2 linked regions of the Caenorhabditis elegans genome follow. The protein of the gene in region 1 interacts with the protein of each later gene in a pairwise test. Each region holds a gene or a part of one and is shown on either strand. Other genes may lie near its edges. The genes, in order: ifet-1 and ife-3.

What was found.
Region 2: the proteins of ifet-1 (region 1) and ife-3 interact in binary tests that used the Caenorhabditis elegans proteins (3 or more experiments, as listed by UniProt).

Annotation. Positions count from the first base shown.
Region 1 is NC_003281.10:4,473,112-4,477,031, forward strand, and holds the start of ifet-1 (Translational repressor ifet-1), read right to left. Parts: upstream 2,040-3,920; 5' UTR 2,033-2,039; coding exon 1,860-2,032; intron 1,812-1,859; coding exon 1,621-1,811; intron 1,574-1,620; coding exon 1,470-1,573; intron 1,420-1,469; coding exon 1,334-1,419; intron 1,286-1,333; coding exon 1,176-1,285; intron 1,130-1,175; coding exon 290-1,129; intron 242-289; coding exon 1-241. Other genes in the region: rps-3A (Small ribosomal subunit protein eS1), read left to right, coding at 2,836-2,958, 3,004-3,399, 3,449-3,703. UniProt on the Caenorhabditis elegans protein: Involved in translational repression of multiple mRNAs in the distal gonad. Recruited to the 3' untranslated region (UTR) of zif-1 by oma-1 and is required for translational repression of zif-1.
Region 2 is NC_003283.11:5,997-9,916, forward strand, and holds ife-3 (Eukaryotic translation initiation factor 4E-3), read right to left. Parts: upstream 1,834-3,920; 5' UTR 1,823-1,833; coding exon 1,655-1,822; intron 1,614-1,654; coding exon 1,437-1,613; intron 1,398-1,436; coding exon 1,162-1,397; intron 1,115-1,161; coding exon 940-1,114; 3' UTR 592-939; downstream 1-591. Other genes in the region: idpp-2 (Intrinsically Disordered Protein, expressed in Pharynx), read left to right, coding at 28-515; B0348.10 (uncharacterized protein), read right to left, coding at 2,579-2,743. UniProt on the Caenorhabditis elegans protein: Recognizes and binds the 7-methylguanosine-containing mRNA cap during an early step in the initiation of protein synthesis and facilitates ribosome binding by inducing the unwinding of the mRNAs secondary structures.

The sequences.
Region 1 (3,920 bases):
CTCTCTGGCGGGCTCTGACTCGTCTTTTCTTTCTTCTGATCAGCATTTGAGGAGCTCTTCTGCAATTGCCGCTGCACAGACGCAGGTATCATAGCAGGAGTGCGACCTTTGTGTTGATGATGCTGTTGTTGTTGCTGATGCTGCTGGATGTTCTGATGCTGTTGTTGAAGACTAACGAAAGTGAGAGTCTGAGACTGTAGGAAAGCCTTGTTACGCATGGATGCCATACGAAGTTGCTCATCTGAAAAATAATTCAATCATGAAATGTATTCAAAAATGCTTAACATACGAAGCTGTGGTGGAAGCTGCTGCCCATTGTTTGCACGAATTGCAGCATTGACTGCTTCTTGAAGTTGATTCTCGACATAGGCATTCAAAATCACTGGATTCTGTGCGAAGCTTGCAAGAAGGCTTGGATCTGCGATAATTTGCATTCCAGGATGAACCATAGGGTGATGCAAATGTTGTTGATGCTGTGGACCTCCATTTGGTGGTGTTGGTTGTCTATGATGATGTATGTGCTGACCAGACTCTGCTTGCTGTTTGGCGAATTTTTGCAGATGTTGCAGAAGTTGTGCTTGTTGTGATGGATCTTGCAATGGACTGACTTTTGAAGGTTCCTTTGACTCCATGCCTTTCTCCAAATCTTCCAACCGCATTCCTCCTTTTATATCACCAGCTCCAGAAGATGAAGCGTTGTTATCACCACCACTATGACCGAAAAGTCTTGCAAGCATTGGATTAGCCACGTTTTCATCGTTTCCGCCTCCAACTGACGAAAGCATAGCGTCCAATTCAGGGGACTTGTTCTTCTTTGCGAAGAACCGACTGAGACGACTAGTTCCTCCAGCAGTTTCCTCACTCTTGTGCGCCCAAGCCATATCGTCGCCATCGATCTTTCTTGATGTTTTTTGAATGTCAAGACATCCCAGAAGAGCCGCGAGTTCCTGATCCGTAGCCGGAAGAGCTCCTCCTCCCGAAGAAGAATAAGCAATTGCTGGATCGTCAATAGGTTCAGAAGTCTTGAGACCAGTTGATGACGGACGGGATCCAACGCACTCCACTGGCTCCGGAGCTTTCACAGCTTCTTTCTCCTTCTTTTCCTTTGGATTCTTTTTGTTCTTCACTTCTGAAAAGAATAACATTATAAAATAAATAGGAGACATTAGGAATACTTTTTGGTTCATCAAATCCGCGCAACTCAATCATATCGTCCATTGTAGTGGGACCGTCAGCCCATTCTGGCAGCTTCTCACTTCCGCTCAAGCTCGTAAGGCGTTCCTCTCTGAATTAGAAATATCAGCATTATTTTTAGCTACTACTCAATACTAACCTCCGTGGTGCGAATTTTGCCCCTCGTGTCGTATCCTTTTTCCATTCGGCTCCACGAGTACCACGTTCAAGCTGGTTACCTTTCTGCTGAAAAATGTTTGGTAAAACATGAAACATTATATTTTGAAACTGCGTACGAAGGATGGTTTGAAGTCATTTCCTCTCGAAGCAAATTTATCGGCACCACCGGTACTTCCGTTTCTCCAGTTCTTTCCATGCCCTCCCAATCTTTCGTACTCTCCTGAAAAATAAAGTTTATGATCAAACTCGTATTTCCAAGCTGATTACCGTCACGTCCTTTGTCGTCTGTTGGTGCTTTGCAGCCACTGCTAAATGCTCTCCGTTGTGGAGACAAACCCGTATTTTCATCAGCGCCAGCGCATAACGAATCAATTTTTTTCGACATCGGACGATTTTTAATTCCTTCGATTTCCCAACGGTGTTCAAGCCATTTCAAAGGAGAAAACTTACCATCTTCGCTGAAATTGTATTTTATGCAATTATATTTTGCGTACTGTACCACTAACCCATTGAAATCTTCTGAGAGGTTTTCAGGCCTCGTCATGCTTGCTTTGGTAGTTCTCAGTTCCATCATTCGTTCTCTGGTGTACGCTTTGAACGGTACCGTCGGAAGTGTGCCCCCTCCGAGAAGGGTTGAGACCATTGGGTGTAGGCCTTCGTCGTCTAGATGACTAGTCATATTTACACTGAAAAATCGAATGTCTATGATTAGTTATTCAACAATTAGCATTAAAATCCATCGCAGTCAGAAAAGAAGAGAATGCCAGCTGCGCAAGAACAACGTATCGCAATCGAGTTTATATCGATTTTTTGTTATGTCTAACTAAAAAAACGAAGCATAGCGATTTACCGCGCAGAAACTTATTTTGGCGACCAAAATTGATAAGAAGCAACTGAAAACCCATTAGAGCTGGAAAATACATAAAAGTTCTGGCGCTGCGCACATCTTCAAAAATTTAGCGCCAAAATTTGAATGGATTTGGTTTTGGCCTATTAATTTCCGATTAACGAGAGGTATGACAACTATTATAGCTGAAATGGCAGCTGAAAATGAGACGAATTGCATGCTTTAATTTTATTTTCGCATAATCTGGAAAGACGTCTGAAATAAGCGTAAGAACGAATGAAAACGGGTCTGTTTGAGAGAAGATGTCTCTCACGCGCTGTGACTACGGTAATACGCATTGTGGAGCGTCATGCGGAGTGTATGGCATACACTTGCGACGCAACTCGAGAATTGCAAATTTTAGGACTTTTCCGTGCCTTCTTTTTCCGTTTCCCTCCTATTTTTTCAGCAATTTTTGAAAAAAAATCAATTTTTCAAACAGTTATCCGTTTATTCAAGTGTTTATTAATATCTTATTGCAAACTCATGTGTCGAGTGGAAAATTCCGTCGAATTTTTAGCTTATACTCTCAATTTGTACTGTTAAATTATGTATTCCTATTTTCAGACACAGCTTGGCATCAATCCGCTTCAATCATGGCGGTCGGAAAGAACAATAACAAGATGGGAAAGAAGGGAGGTAAGAAGAAGGCCGTGGATCCATTCTCCCGCAAGGAATGGTACGACATCAAGGCCCCAAACATGTTCAACACCCGCCAGGTAACGTTTTATTTTGTTTTATAATTCTATAAATGCTATTTTCAGGTTGGAAAGACCCTTATCAACAGAACCCAAGGAACTAAGATCGCTTCCGAAGGACTTAAGGGACGTGTCTTCGAGGTTTCACTCGGAGACTTGAACAACTCTGAGGCCGACTTCAGAAAGTTCAAGCTCATCGCTGAAGATGTCCAGGGAAAGAACGTTCTCACCAACTTCCACGCTATGTCGATGACCCACGATAAGTTGTGCTCCATCGTCAAGAAGTGGCATACTCTCATCGAGGCCAACACCGCCGTCAAGACCACTGATGGATACACTCTCCGTGTCTTCGTTATCGCCTTCACCAAGAAGTCCGTCAACCAAGTCAAGAAGACTTCCTACACCAAGACATCCAAGATCCGCAAGATCCGTTCCGAGATGATCGGATGCATCGAAAAGGAGGTATGTAGCAAAAAATAACTAATGAAAGAAAACAAATTTTTTATTGCAGGTCACCGGATGCGACCTTAAGGAGGTTGTCAGCAAGCTCATCCCAGATTCCATCGGAAAAGATATTGAGAAGACCTGCTCCAAGCTCTACCCACTCCAAGAAGTCTACATCCGTAAGGTCAAGATCATCAAGAGACCAAAGGTTGATCTTGGACGTCTTCACGACTTGCACGGAGACTCCATCACCGTTGGAGCCGACGGTGAGAAGGTTGATCGCCCAGACGACTACGAGCCACCAGTCCAACAAGAAGTTTAAGTCTTATAATTTCATTGTTATGTCGCATTGCGATAAATGTTAAAATTAAAAAACTTCAAAAGTAACATACATCATATATATCTGAAAAATACAACTCAATTTTGTTAACGAAATATTTATGAGATCTAAACCCAACAAGCATGATTGGTGTGGACATACGGGATGGGATTGAGAGTGTCAAGCTGGCGCACGGTAGAACAAGATGATGGAAGATTCA
Region 2 (3,920 bases), on another chromosome or scaffold:
AATTCTTTAAAATCCGCTATTTTCCAGCTGATTACGCATCTAACGACCTGATGAACAGTTTCAATGGAGCTACAAATTCCGCGATCCCATCACTTCGCGAGCTTGCCACCTATGCGTCACGCTATGGTCCCGCATATCTTCGCGAACGATTCGGAAGCCATGATTCCCAACTTGAGCGTATGCTTTATGGCGGCAGTGGACCACAGATCCCATCACGTGGAGGAGGAATTCCCATAGATTACAACATGAACATTGCTTCGAATCACTGGAACCGAGGAATTGGCTCTCCGATGGGAATTATGTCGCGGGATGTTGATTCCTATCAACACGACGATGCGGCCAAAGCAAACAAAAAGACCACTACCGGCTCGCCGAGCACGACGAGCACACGGAAACCTCGGAAAGCTAGGAAGCCAACCAAGAAGACTGTTGCCGCAGCTCCTTCGTCTAGCTCGAACACATCGACTACGGCAAAGCCTGCAAAAACTGTAAAGACATCGGAGAAGTCTGCCTGAAAACAAGAATAGAATCAATTTTTAAAAATGTACAAAATCAAACGCCCTACAAATCATGTGTGTGAAGAAGAATAATAACTAACATATCTATTTATATTTACCGAATAAATATATATTCATCAATTAACCTGAAGAACAAACGAATTCGGCTACAGGCGTCGATCAGTCTCGAATCTAGTAACAACAAGAGAGCAATACGAAAACCGGTAAATCAATAGGGGGAAGCGAAACAGTAGGTACAAATTGGAGGGGAAGCACCAATACATTAGGTGGGGGGTACGACTTGAAAAATGAGCTGATTTTCGAATAGTTAAAGCGATGATCGTGTCCGAAAAACAGTTCATTTTTCAAGACAACATTGAGACTGGGAGTACGGGGAAGCTCATTTACGGTGAGAGGAATTGGTGAGATCTTTAGAATATGCTTAAGGAGTTGGGGTGGCTGGAGAAGTTCCTGTAGCCTCCGTGCCGGGATTCGATGGAGAAGTCGTTGCGGCTGGTCCCTTTTCCTTCACTGGTGCTGGATCCTTGGCTGGAAGACATATGCGTGGCTTGACAGTCGATGAGGTGCGAGCCGACGAGTCCTTGTGAACTTCGTATCTGGAAATATTTTACTTAGATAGCAAATACTAAAATTGTAAAATTACCTCAAAATCTCAGTATCCGGAATGCTCAATTTCTGCTTCAAAACCTGTCCGATGCGAAGATTGACATCATCGCGAGTAGCATCACGAGTCCACAAGGAAACCTTGTCACCCTTTTGACGAACATTCACGACAGCTCCGCAGATGTAGTCTCCGTACTCGTCGAATTGCTCTCCAACAATAGCCATCAACAGCTCCAACCAGTAGTGATCGAGCAATTGCGTTCTTCTCTGAAGCTTCTATGATTCATTGAATAAAATATATTTCTCAAAACGTACTTGCTTATCGACAACAACCAACCAACGTCCACCTTGAACGTTGTTGACGTCCTCCCACATTGGCTTGATTCCTTCCTTGAACAAGTAATAATCGGATCCCCAGTTCAATCCTCCGGCAGACTGAATGTGATTGTACAGCGACCAGAAGTCCTCGACAGTGTCGAAAAGTGAAACCATCTGGAAAAAATCGATAAAAGACGTATTTAAAAATCTTCTACCTTCAGACAATCCTCCCATTCCTTGTTACGGTCAGCTTTCAAGTACCAGAGAGCCCAGCGATTCTGGAGGGGGTGTCTGGTGAGAAGCTCTGGAGGAACTGAAGCATCGGACGCATTCACATCGCCGGAAGCTGACAATGCTTTGTTTTCCGCTACGGATGTGCTCATTTAGCTGAAAATAGGTAATATTATATACGATTAGAGCTCGGAAAACGATAAAATAGAGAAGAGTATGAATTTGGTTCAAATAACTCGGATTTTATAGGAAATTTTGTTTTACTGCACATTTTCGGCTAGTTTCCAAGCTTTTTAGATTTTTCAAGTGTAATTGGTAACATCGGGCACAATAAATTGATATTAAAGCTTGGAAAACAATAAAACAAAGTAGAAAATGAATTCAGCTCAACTTCGACGAAAAATCATCAAATGATTCGTTTCCCATGAAATTCCTAGTAGTTTTTAAACATTCTAGCTGTTTTTTAATCGTAAAAGTGAAAAAAAAAAGAGCGATTTCCCCGAAAAACCTTGGAAAATGAAGAAATGGAAAGAAAGGCGCGAATCCTGAAATTCAAACACCAGACACACGCAAAACGAGTGTAACCGTAGTTTTTGTCGTTGCGAAGTATCTTGTCTGCGGAATTGCGCCCCCCTTTAAACAAAACAGCGGAAAATATGAAAATTATTTTTGTATTAAAATAAAAATCGAGTTGTTTAGGTAAAATTTTTCAAATTTTATTGAAAATTCGGTAAAATAATGAAATTAATCGCTGAAAACTCGTTATTCGCACAGAAATTGAGCTCTTTCAGGGAATTCAGGCTAAAAAATTATATTTTCAGGTTTAAAATTCAAAAATTTATTTTCCAGATTGCAGTCGATAATCTGAGTTTTCCCAAAAAATGTGCATTGTTTACAGCCTGTGGTTCTCAATTTCTCCAATTTATCCACGAGTGCGTCTCCGTTTTCTTTTCTCCTTCTGCCGCATTCAGCGTCGCCGTCGTCGTCAGGAATTCATGAGCCGTCCCGGTGTCTCGAGCTCTTGTGAGCATACACACAGACACATACAGCAGCAGCCTCCACAACATGCACATATAAATATATCGGTCTGGGTGTTGCTGCTGCTGCCGCTGGGCGCCTTTTCCCTCTCTGTGTGCCTCAACTCGTCGCACATATCTCTCTCTCTCTCTCTCACTTTGCCTTGTTTTCCCTGCCCATCGTCCCGTAAAAAGGTGGCCAGACAGTTCTCCGAATCGCAGAGACGCAGCAAGCGTTGCCCCGAGGCGCCATTCGTCTAACCTACTGCGTCTGACACCCCGCCGTCAGACGACGTCGGGGGCCCTCCGACGACGACTTCTTTCGCTGTATTTCTCTCTCTCCTCCGTCTCCTCCTCCTCTCCACCACATCGATTTTCCCGTTTTAGAGTGTTGGCGGTGAGCCATAGTCACGAATACTTTGTCTATTTTTTCGGCGACGGCTGTTGGGCTTCTCTTCTCTGCGTCTCTCGCACTCTTGTCCGCCTTCTGACCGTCATAATTACCACGTCGTCCACGTAAAGTCTTCGGAGAGCGCCACGCCCCCACACACACATACACACAACATTTTCGTAGCCGCATTATTCTCCTAACAATCATCGTTTTTTGCTAGTTTTCAGTAGTTCCACAGACTTAAAGGAGGATCACCGAAATTCGAGACTTGGCTTTTTGGGACCCAAAATGTTCCAAAACTAATTTCGTAATGAGATGTTCTGAAAATTTCTCAAAAAAAAAAGTTATGACCGCTCGGAAAATGGTATATTTTCAGCTAAAATCTTAAATTTTGACAACTTCTCAGTGTCGCAGCGGTAGGAACTAAATTTTGATGTGATTATCACTTTTTAGTATGTATTTATTTATTTTCATTTCCACTCACACACGCGAAGCCCACAGCATTTGAAATTCTATAGTTTGTTTGCAGAATAGAGGTGTGCGGCACAAAAAGTTTACTGGAAAAAAGTAAACTTTTTTTGCGGCAAAAAAGAGTCGGAAGCTCAATTTTTTCAGACTCTTCTTATATATTTCGACAAAATAATTATGTTATCATTTCCTATTTAAGCGTCTTAAATTGTTCGCATAACAATGAGGAATTCCACGTTATATGGAAACGCTGTAAAAAGATCTCTGGTGAAATCGCGCTCCACGAGCTATTGAAAACGCTCCAAAAAACGAAAACTAGTTTTTTTTTTAATTTTTAAGTTCTTAATACTTTTTTCGACGTAAAATTCAATAAAA